Linked DNA regions of Bombyx mori. The protein of the gene in region 1 purifies or fractionates together with the protein of each later gene. This does not show direct contact. Links are inferred from orthologs where the notes say so. Each region holds a gene or a part of one and is shown in the gene's direction. Other genes may lie near its edges. The genes, in order: Golgi phosphoprotein 3 homolog sauron, Rabb and Rab11.

Region 1 (4,078 bases):
TTTGTGGAGATGCCATGAACGACATTTAGTGTTCACAATTTTATGTATAATATTTAAAAATAGTCTCTTTTTTGTTTTCAAAATGACTATATCAAAAAAAAAAATGAAAAAAAAAAAAATTTTTGGATTTCAATGATCATGATCGAATTTTGATCATTGGTAAAAAATATACAGACGAACCACAAAGTGATCTTATCTTTTTTCTGTACTTTGCGCCTGGTCAAAAATTTGTACTTTATCGACATGTTTAACCTCGGCTAAACTGGGTGTAACTGGGTCGCGACTTCTAAACACCAGATATAGCTTAAGTACGTTTGCGTACATGCAGAAGATGGTGTCAGAATTTCAAAAATTTGGATATCGGGGACTGTGTTACGATCTCTGAATTTATAAACTGCATCGCTTAATGTAAGTTACGAAAGTCTCTGCAGATTCTCTGAGGAATTAGCCGAGATTAAATTAATCTATTCACATGAAACTACATCAAATATATTCTCCAATAAACTATAGTATGAGATTATTTCTTCCACATAATCGGTCTTTCATCAAAATAGATATCTTGGGGAGAGATAAAATGTTTCTTAAACTATTAAGCATTTATTTTTAGTAACGAAGCATCACCTTTTTAGTGCAATATATTATTATGTGAAAACAGGTTATTATATCCTTCTACAATATATTTCGTAATCTAACCATTTCATCCAATGCAACACCATCACAGTCCCACACCTCCTGTCAAATCAAGTTCTTCTATCTGATGATAGTTTCTGTGACTACTGGGGTTTTAACGTGAAATTAATTTTAGATTCCGGAAAAGGAATCTGCTAGAATATCCAAAGAAGACAGCAGGCGCTGCGATGCATAGTAAGTGGCACAACTGTCTTTTAATTGTCCGTACTGTCGTTAATACTGAAGAACCTGATCACGATAATGGGAAAATTTTATTAATTTACTCTATTGCCATCGATTCTCGATAACTATACGAATTTAAATTAAATCCAAAGCTTTAAACTGAGTGAAAGTCACTTTCAAAGATACATATGTACACACCAAGCACATAAAAACTCGTTAAAATAATACCTCTCTGTGGGGTTTGTACAACAGTATAGTAGCATCACTCTGAACCCTTTAGGAAGCTTTAGGTATTGAAGATTTGAAAGTAAATTCAATGTAAATTACAATAAAGTAAAATAAGTCGCAGCCCAAGTACTCAGCTTGGTACTCGACTTCTTTGGATACTCGAGATTGTACTCAATTTCTGGCTATCCGAGTTGAGTTCTTTCTTAGTATTGTAGCTTGCAAGTGCAGTATACAAATACATGAAAATTTCTAAAAGGTATTCAAATTCATTTAATTCGACACATTGCTAGTAAATCAATCAATCGAAATGATTTGAATAATATTTGCAAAGATGCATAAAATTACACACTGAATGGTTCTGGTGAAAAGGAACGTATAGTCGGCCATGTTTTCGACAACAACATCACGTCGCAACGTAAACGTCAACTTGACCATTCATTTACAATTTTTCGATATAAATATAGTTCTTTCTTGTGAAATTAATTAGTTTTAGCATTTTAAAATATAACTTAATGAGAATATGAACCGTACTGAGGGTTTAGTGCAACGAAGAAATGTTATAAAGGAGAGTAACACAGACGGACAGAAAGAAAATCACGACAACGATGATAAGAAAAATGATAAAAATTATGATGACGGAGATTCCAAGGAAACTAAATTGACATTAATGGAAGAAGTGTTACTGTTAGGGTTAAAGGATAAAGAGGTGAATATTTACATGACTAACTGATCTGATAAATACAATGGCATTCCAGCAGTCTAAAGATCGTGACATGCTCATCTTCTACCGTTTCAGGGTTATACATCATTTTGGAATGACTGCATATCCAGTGGTCTAAGAGGATGCATTCTAATTGAACTGGGCTTAAGAGGACGACTTGAACTGGAGCGAGCTGGAATGCGTAGGAAAGGCTTGTTGTCTAGAAAAGTGATTGTAAAGTCAGGTAGGTGACTACTGCTCAAGTTTAATTAACAAACCCATATATCTGTTTTAAAAGTGACGATAAAATTTTGAATATTCTAAAGTACTCATTAACAACTGATCAACACTGAAGCTAAAGGTACTATTAATGCTAAATTGATTAAAGCTATATTTTCTCACATAGAATATCCTTTTTGTTCCAGAAAATGCATTTCTTTAACCTAGTATAAATATAGTAAAAAAGTTGACAATTTAATTTTCTTTCATCCAAATTACAAATATTGAAATTTGAAAATTGTCTGAAAAATTAATCACTACATCCTAAGTTTTGTTTACATAATATATTTTCTAGAAATTAAAATTTATAAGCTATAAGACTTAGACTAAATAGCAACCACATAACATCAAATGAGCCATAAGGATGTTGAGTAGTCCTCAATGTTTAAAAAAAAATTGTAATCTTTCACACTTACACAACCTCAAAACCATCTATTATTCTTAGTATATGGTGAGCAGATAATGATGAACTAACAGGGGATTTTTTGTGACAGACGAAAATAAACAATCTTACTAATTATTTAAAAAAACAAGCTATCAATAATTAACTATAAAAGAACTAAAGTATCAGCTTGAATTGAAATTAATTTTGATAACATTTAAAAAATACATTAGCAAACATTATTTTATTGATAAAATATTTTCGTAGAAATAGTCAATATTTAATTTTCTTTTATATTTAGAAGCAAATTATTTAAAAATAATAATAATAATTAATAATAATAATTTATTTATTAACCTTGATACATTTACACATAATAATTTATAATGGTTCTTGAAACTTGTTGTGCAAGATACTCTAAAGCAATTTCAAATTCTAATAAGCAAACAAAATTAATTATTTCACTATCAACAAGCTCTTCTTAAATTACATTGTAACAAAATAAAATAAAAACATTTTAGATACTTTAACCGGTGATGTTCTGCTAGATGAAGCTCTGAAACATATGAAAGATACTGACCCTCCAGAAACAGTACAAAGCTGGATTGAATATCTGAGTGGTATGTAAATATTTATGATTTCAAATGTTACAGTTGTGCAACAAATATGACATTTACCAAGAGCTTAGAGTTTATGTGTTGTGAAAATTAAGTTATGCAATTTTATCAGGAATTGTAACTTTGTGTTTTGGAGGGCAATAGATCCAATTTCACAGTTTTTGAGAATTGGAAATAAGTATGTTATAATCTTGAGAAAAAACTATGGTTTATGTTAGTCAATATTTCTAAGAGATTTTAGCTCTAGGCAGGTTTAGAAACTTGGCAGTAGATTTTAGTATAATACCAATAAGTGGTTAAATTAAATGTTGAATAGATTAAAACTCCTAAAAATTATTCAAAATAAAACAATAAATCTTTTTAAATAGAATAACAGATTTAATTTTATTTTACAACAAATTGGCTTGGCGCAATTGCTTTCCAAGGCAAGGATATTTACTAGGGTTTGCCTACTGATCAAAATTCAAGCATAATTTCTGGCACCTTAACATCTCTTCTGCCAGAAGCTGGAATGGCACCTTAGGCTACCAGCGAATAGGTGGGGAAAAGTGTTTAAATTCTTATATATTACATTTATTTGCTTTATTATCAATAGCCACCTCATAAAAGAAATTATACTTCACTGTTTGGCCGTGGCCTATTTATATGAAAATATATGGAAATGAGTTTTAAAGATGTAGATGGACAATATTTTTAGGTGAAACATGGAATCCAATGAAACTGAAATACCAGTTAAAGAACGTACGCGAAAGATTGGCTAAAAATCTGGTTGAGAAAGGGGTTTTAACAACAGAAAAACAAAATTTTCTTTTATTTGACATGACGACACACCCTCTCACAGATAATGTCGTTAAGTGCCGTTTAGTTAAAAAGGTAAGTCAAATAATAATGTTTTGATATTTAGTTATTTAAAACCCTTTATTATTAAAACCAGCTACTTCAATACACACCTGCCAATTAACAACAGTAAAGCTGATTGTTTATAAATAATTTGCAATAATAATGTCGTTACCATTAAGG
Region 2 (4,501 bases), on another chromosome or scaffold:
CCATCACGTTCACTACAAACACACGAGTATTATTGCCGAATGAAGAAACTAAACTAGTCAAGAGGAGACTAGGCGCGTGCAGTCGAGAGGCTGCCAGCGGCGACGCCGGGAGCCGCTGGCATCGCCGCCGGCCGCTGCCATTCCGGTGTGACTCGGCCCTAAAGCGTCCAAATATTAGGAAACACTGTTCCCTGTTACAATCGTATTATGTAGAAATAATTAACGATTGTCCATTAACCACTATAGTTATAAATGTGGCATTGAAAGCATTTAAGCATTTTGTTGTGCAGTCATAATGTAAAACCAAATTTTAGGTACCTACCTATGATGATAATTTCTGAGAAAAAACAAAAGCAAGCTTTTTGGTAAGATATTGAATAAATGTTTGAAAAGTGGTATATTCAATAAAATATGTGAAACTTATAGTATTTTTTTTATATTTGGTGTCTACGATGAATGATGACTAAACCCGTTTCTAATATAACGGTTTATAATGATTAACTTATTATTTAATTACAAATTATAACTCATGATATATTAGTCATGTCATGGCCTAAAGGCTGTGCGCTCGTGAGCTCGTCCACCCACCTAATCGAAAAAAAACAATAGTGCTCATAAACTGCTTCTATATGTAATGGATAATTTATTAAACTCAATTCGTTTAATGTATGCTTTTTGTAAATATTGTAAATACCCTGGGAAAAACATTTCGATAAAAAATAAGGCAATCTTTGGAGCACAATGTTGGATTTTAGTCAATTAATAATTAATTATTATTTTAGTTTTTTATTGCTTAGATGGGTGGATGAGCTTACAGTTTACCTGGTGTTAAGTGGTTACTAGAGCCCATAGACATCTACATCGTAAATGTGCCACCCACCTTGAGATATTAGTTCTAAGGTCTCAGTATAGTTACAACGGCTGCCCTTTCCTTCGAATCGAAACGCATTACTGCTTCACGGCAGAAATAGGCAAGGTGGTGGTACCTGCCCCTGCGGACTCACAAGGGGTCCTTACCACTAGTAACTATGCAAATTATATTTCTGCGGGCTTGACTTTTATTACACGATGCTATTCCCTCACCGTGGAAGTCAATAGTGAACATTTGTTAAGTATGTATTTCATTAAAAAAACTGATACCCGCATGCGGGATTCGAACATCGTTGCATCAGTAGATACGAATGCACCGGACGTCTTATTGTTTGGGCCACGACGACTAATAAATTTCAAGCCTAAACTTATGGTGAATTGTTGACGTGAAATAAATAACCCATTCTCACCAAGAAAATCAATTAACATACTTCGACAAAACTTGAAAAATATAAAAATGAATAGTATAATAATTGAAACAGTAATATTTCAACCAACATACATTCATTTTATTAACAATTTTATAAGAACTTTACATTTTAGAGTAAGTGGTTAAAATTGGGGCCTTTACCTTATGTACATTTCCGTGGTCTACATTTTGCTAAATATGAGCACTGACTGCCCTACGCAAAAAGAAACAAAAAATCGACTAAAGGATTAGTCGATTCCTAAAAAAAATAGTTTTTGAACGCAAATTAATTCTTGCCAAGTGGCACTCCTGTTTAAATCTGACTTACGTCAGTGGGTGTTTCGTTCGGCGGCCATTATCCTACGTAGAATTAATTTTTTTTCGCTATTTAGTACTAGAAACAAAGAACTTAAGTGCTTTCGATAAATTCGACAACTAAATTGTGTGAAAAACAATTACTAGTACAAAATTAAAAAAATGAATCCAGAATAGTGAGTATTACATCTGTAACATGGCGATTTCATGAACAAGGATGGGCAAATATCACGTCTCTGTATCCTCATTATAAAATTTGCTTCATTTTTTACAATATTACGAACTACATTCACACCATAAGATATAGTTTTTTAATTTACAGTAATAGCTATATTGTGATGAAGGGGGTGAGTCATTGTGTTCGTGGTAGGTACTATAGTAATAGTGAAAACGTAGTCATTCGTATCGTGAATGGCGTATTTGATCTAAAATTTTATCATCGCATTTCCTGGATTTCAATTACAGCTTGTACACTTCTGTCAAAAAATATACGACGTTCCTTTGTTTGAGGATACAGAAGTTACGCCTCCTAAGGACATCAATAATTCTTCCAGTACAAACTGCATGATTTGCCCTTGACACGCACAGTATTTGTTTTAAAGTATATTTCAATTATTGATTACAGCGACTACTTATTCAAACTACTCCTGATTGGTGACTCTGGAGTTGGGAAATCATGTCTGTTGCTAAGATTCGCTGATGATACGTACACCGAGAGCTACATCAGTACTATTGGCGTGGACTTTAAAATTAGGACTGTAGACTTAAATGGCAAGACAATAAAGTTACAAATATGGGACACAGCTGGACAGGAGCGGTTTAGAACCATCACCTCATCATACTACAGAGGAGCACATGGAATCATCATTGTATATGATTGCACAGACCAGGTAATTATATGATCCTACACTAATATTTTCAGAATAAAATATCACATCTTAAGAACAAAAAAAACATTGTTTATTTTCTTTTTTATACTAAAATAAATGTTTAAAATAAGTATTTTATAAAAAATCTCGAAAGATTATGGTTTTAAACAAAGAAAACAAAGAACCAACATTTGACACATCTAAATTGCACAAAGAAGATTCACAAATTCAAATGTAAACTAAACCATTATTAATAATTACAAAATCTAGTATTTTCATTTGGAGTACATAGTAAAATTTCTAAATAAATTAGAAAATTGTTTATGCAAACAATAAATGAGAAAATAAAAAAAATTGGCATTGATCCAGTTCTCCAAACAAAACACTGAAGTGTAAACAATCAATGCAGTGAATCATATTAATCTATACCTCTCCTCCTACCTCTCTATATCTATACTGTTCAATATTTTTGGTGTTGATAAAAAATTACAATTTGCTTCACTTGTAAAATTTGAACTAATATTAAAAATATGGAACTGGATTTTTTAACTATTAGACACAGTTGACTTTACGTTTTGTATTTCTTATAACTTTTTATTTCCTTACTACAACTATTATAACTATTACACATTTAGAAAAAGACATTTCATGGTTGAAAATAATATATAGTTTAAAAAAAAATATATATGCTCTATGAATGGTATTTATTAAGATAATTTGCAAGTTCATTAGATTAGAGCAATGATACCATATCAATGTATGGTAATATATAAATAAATTTGCACACATTAAGATTAATATGACTATTATTCAAATAAGATTAAATTTTTGAATTTTTCTGTGAGAAAATCTAGTAATAGTGTCCTATTAAAAAAGATGCTCATCATTTGAAAATTCATTGTGAACTATTTAAGAGATTTACAGAAGCTGTAGAGTACATCAAAATATAATAGTTAAGGTCAATGATTAGTAGTTTGGCACATCAAATTTTACTAAAAAAACTCATCTTTTATTCATTTGGAAAAAAGTATTATTAACATAAAAATATAATGTGAAGACAACATTATTATAACCTTGCGTTTAATATTATTTAAATTGAAGCATTATAATTTTTTGTATTGATTGATTGATTTATGTAATTGTAATATATATATATAAAACAGTCAAACAATAGATTACAAGCAAAAGTGTAAGTTTATTTGTAACCAAGATCTCTAAAGTGTTCAATATTGTGACCAAACTTTCTAAAGTGACAGCTTACTAACTAGTTAGTTTTATTTCATGGGTCATATATCAGGATTACCCTTTTTTTAAATCAAAGAAAAACTTTCTAAAAAAATATATATTCCATTACAGGATTCATTCAGCAATGTGAAACAGTGGTTAGAGGAGATTGATCGTTACGCTTGTGACAATGTGAACAAACTGCTCGTCGGTAACAAGTGTGACTTAACCACTAAAAAGGTTGTCGACTTTAGTACAGCTAAGGTAAGTTATGAATGAATAAATACGTCTGTAAAGTAACTTTGTAACCAATTATTTTAGATGACTGAAAGTGGTTGAAGCTAGCTACTGTATGAATACACATTCACATTTGAGCTTTGTTTGTCACTACATATGTATATGTATGTATATTGCTACTGATGTAATGCTTATTGCACAATACCTAATCAATAATTAATGAGTAGTACTCTACATGTTGTCTTTGATTCTTTGTCTGGATCATTTACTTTGTGTGCAATTTTTGTTTGTGTTTTAATAAAATTTAAGAGAAGCATGTTTCATTGTGAAATTGAGTGACATTTGTATTTTATGATCTGGTAACCTGTAGACTAGTTGTTAACATAAAGAAACATATGTAATAAAAGATCTAAAGAATCTCCCAATCAACAGCATTTCGGTCAATTCATAGTACAACAATGTGTTCCACTTGTGTAAACATCATTGCTAAAACTGATAGCTGATGTTATTTCACAAAGCACAAATATTTATCAATAGGGGTGTCATGCAAGCTCATCTCTTTTAAATTTGGTATAAA
Region 3 (3,738 bases), on another chromosome or scaffold:
GTGAACATGTGTTAAGTACGTATTTCATTAGAAAAATTGGTACCCGCCTGCGAGATTCGAACACCGGTGCATCGCTCAACACGAATGCACCGGACGTCTTATCCTTTAGGCCACGACGACTTCAAAATCGAAGGCTATATCTTGTTGTTGTCCACCAGGTCGACGGTAAGACCATAAAAGCTCAGATATGGGACACGGCCGGGCAGGAGCGGTACCGCGCCATCACGTCGGCGTACTACCGCGGCGCGGTGGGCGCGCTGCTCGTGTACGATATCGCCAAGCACCTGTCGTACGAGAACGTGGAGCGGTGGCTGCGCGAGCTGCGCGACCACGCCGACCAGAACATCCTCATCATGCTGGTCGGCAACAAGAGCGATCTCAGACATCTTAGGTACGTCTCTAGTTACGTCCAATCTAGACAACACTAGCGAGCTCCAATCTAGACAACACTAGCGAGCTCCAATCTAGACAACACTATCGAGCTCCAATCTAGACAACACTAGCGACCTAAAGGATTAGACGTCCAGTGCATTCGTATGTAACGATGCGCCGGTGCTCGAATCCCGCTGGCAAGTACCAATTTTTCTAATTAAATACTTTCTTAGCAAATGTTCTCGATTGACTTCCACAGTGAAGGAATATCATCATGTAATAAACATCTAATCTGCAAAATTATAATTTGCATAATTACTGATGGTAGAAACTCTTGTGAGTTCATACAGGGAAAATTAAGTAACCCCGCCAACATCAAGACATGAGATCGAAATAAATCACTCCAAAATTCTAGATAATCCCTAAAGGCATTAGTTTCCGAAATATGACAAGTTTGTTTTCTTATTTAAAAACCAAACTTCATTGGAATTCATACTCATTGAAATACAGAAACAACTTGTCATCTAAACATCCGTGATTTTAGATGAGATTTCCACTTATATCGTTATCTGCAGTCTCTGTACGAAAATATTTACTTAAAAGATTCTAAAACAAATACAGCAGCTAACATGAAGGTCTAATAATATAGTCTAATATAATAATATGGTTTTTTAATGAATCTTTTTAGTAATGTTTAATTATTTTTTTGGCTATATGTCTGGTCAGGGTGTGTTCAAGTATCACGAAAGCAGAGTCAGAGGGCGAATGTTTATTTTCTTTCTTTATACGCCTACAAAGAGAGCGGCGTTTATTATAAATCTTATGTAAAATTAAAAAAATAAAATATACATTCGAGTATTTACTTAATATTTAATATTCGTTTTTTAAACATTAAGAGTAATTCAATAATTGAAAGTTTGCTTACGATACCGTCCAATGTTCCCCCTCAACCGATTTTATTAACTGTGTTATTTATATCACACATATTCCCAGTGGATGGTATAAAATTTCAAGGGTAATAAATATTTGACAATAAAGAGATTAGGTGTGGTCAAACATATTATGTTCCCATTCATTTCTAATATACTTAAGTATTTTCATTCGATTAAATGAAGATAAGCACAAACAATGAAGCCAAATAAAAGGTTTTTTTTTGCTTAGATGGGTGGACGAACTCACGGCCCACCTGATGTTGAGTGGTTACCGGAGCCCATAGACATCTACAACGTAAATACTGCCACCAACCTTGAGATATGAGTTCAAAGGTCTCAGTATAGTCACAACGGCTGCCCCGCCCTTCAAACCGAAACGCGTTACTGCTTCACGGCAGAAACAGGCAGGGCGGTGGTACCCACCCGCGCGGACTCGCAAGAGGTCCTACTAGCAGTATCACTTGATCCCAAGCGGTCCCACACAGCTAAGTGTTACGGTGCGCGTTCGCAGGTCCATCCCGACGGAGGAGGCGAAAGCGTTCGCGGAAGCCAACGGACTTAGTTTTATCGAGACGTCGGCCCTGGACTCTACCAACGTCGAGCCGGCCTTCCAGAACATTCTGACCGGTCAGTACCCACGAGTGACGTAGTGCTTATCGAACGTGCTATATAATTGTGGCGGAGGACAGTCGTGCTCTTGAAAAACCACTTCGCAATTTCGAGACATGCTTAGGTACGATGAAATGTACATTTGTACTAACTAGTGGTCACCCAGTCGAAATTATTTGAAATTATATTGAAATTAATTGAATTATATTTGAAATTATTTGATAATTATTTGAAATTAAAGTTTGAACAGTATTATTGGTTCTATTGTCAAAGACTATACTACTTTAATCACAAGACTACGCTATATACAAATAATATTAATCTATTCAATTTGAATAACAATAACAAAAGTTTGACAATAAATGAAGGGTGGTATATAATATATGTGTGTTGTGTCAAATATATGGTAGTGTGTGCAACGTTTTTTTATATTGATTTAATGTATTTTTTTGCATAAATATGTAAATATTTACACTCTGCACTCCTTCTCTATATTCTCTGCTAACTGACTCGGCAGACTTCGTAGTGCCTGAATCGATAAATAAAAGACCTAAACTTTTGTATAATATCAAGTTAAAACAAACAAAAGGAATCCGTCTGACGGGAGGGAGACACATCAAAGGAAAAGCAAAATTGCTATTTTTATTTAATTCCGAGCATTTTCATATTATTATTTATCTACCTTTTAAACCTTCTCTGGACTTCCACAAATAATTCAAGACCAAAATTAGCCAAATCGGTCCAGCCGTTCTCGAGTTTTAGCGAGACTAACGAACAGCAATTCATTTTTATATATATATATAGATCTTCATAAATTTTGTGATTAATGAAATTAAGTTAGTTCACGGGGGTCCATTTTAATTCTTATACTTTTAATAATTTTAATAGATTACGTACATAGTGTTCTGTTTGAATATAGGGCGTTCGATTGGCTATGATGTGATACAATGAATGACTCATTAAAATATTAGTGAATATTTCGGAACATCGATAGAATGAATATTACATTGTAATGCAAATTAGCGATACCGTTACGAAATCGTTCGCTTTGCTAATGTCAATGAACGCCCACACTATGATGTCATATTATATGTATTCATATATTAGCATTGTTTGAAGGTTAAAGGGACGCACAATTTTAAAATGAACATATTATCGTAACTTAGTGTTCAATATATCGCACCCTTAGAATTATAGAGACCCAATTCGAAATTTTGGATTTCGAGTTTAATTAAATGGACATGTATTTTTCACTGGTGGTAGGACCTCTTGTGAGTCCGCACGGGTAGGTACCACCACCCTGCCTATTTCTGCCGTGAAGCAGTAATGCGTTTCGGTTTGAAGGGTGGGGTAGCCGTTGTAACTATACTGAGACCTTAGAACTTATATCTCAAGGTGGGTGGCGCATTTACATTGTAGATGTCTATGGGCTCCAGTAACCACTCAACACCAGGTGGGCTGTGAGCTCGTCCACCCATATAAGCAATAAGAACATTTAAAAAATATGGAAATGGCAGTGCAAGATAGAGGGGGAAGCGGTCGACCGAAAAAGACATGGATGGAGTGTGTGAATGACGATATGAGAGAGAGAGAGAGAGGAGTGGGTGTTGAGATGACGGCTGATAGAAGAGAATGGAAGAGAAAAATTAACTGTGCAGACCCCGCCTAGTGGGATACAGTGGAGAAAAAGAAGAGACTTTAATTAAAAAATGGACCTAGAACTACCCTTTTCAGCGACTCTTAATAATCAAACGACCAAAAATAGCTAATAAAGAGACAAACTTATCCATCGGTCTCTTTCACTCCGTCCCCCTCCTCTACGTCT

What was found.
Region 2: the proteins of Golgi phosphoprotein 3 homolog sauron (region 1) and Rabb purify together in Drosophila melanogaster (affinity purification with western blotting; 3 studies listed by BioGRID, with this or other methods). This does not show direct contact. The link is inferred for Bombyx mori from reciprocal best matches to the Drosophila melanogaster genes sau and Rab1.
Region 3: the proteins of Golgi phosphoprotein 3 homolog sauron (region 1) and Rab11 purify together in Drosophila melanogaster (affinity purification with western blotting; 3 studies listed by BioGRID, with this or other methods). This does not show direct contact. The link is inferred for Bombyx mori from reciprocal best matches to the Drosophila melanogaster genes sau and Rab11.

Annotation. Positions count from the first base shown.
Region 1 is NC_085111.1:10,440,827-10,444,904, forward strand, and holds the start of Golgi phosphoprotein 3 homolog sauron, read left to right. Parts: upstream 1-1,278; 5' UTR 1,279-1,600; coding exon 1,601-1,786; intron 1,787-1,876; coding exon 1,877-2,024; intron 2,025-2,962; coding exon 2,963-3,061; intron 3,062-3,755; coding exon 3,756-3,931; intron 3,932-4,078. UniProt on the Drosophila melanogaster protein: Phosphatidylinositol-4-phosphate-binding protein that links Golgi membranes to the cytoskeleton and may participate in the tensile force required for vesicle budding from the Golgi.
Region 2 is NC_085131.1:10,116,474-10,120,974, reverse strand, and holds the start of Rabb (small GTP-binding protein), read left to right. Parts: upstream 1-1,656; 5' UTR 1,657-1,756; coding exon 1,757-1,770; intron 1,771-2,219; coding exon 2,220-2,484; intron 2,485-3,819; coding exon 3,820-3,951; intron 3,952-4,501.
Region 3 is NC_085112.1:15,253,523-15,257,260, forward strand, and holds part of Rab11 (ras-related GTP-binding protein Rab11), read left to right. Parts: intron 1-158; coding exon 159-391; intron 392-1,815; coding exon 1,816-1,931; intron 1,932-3,738.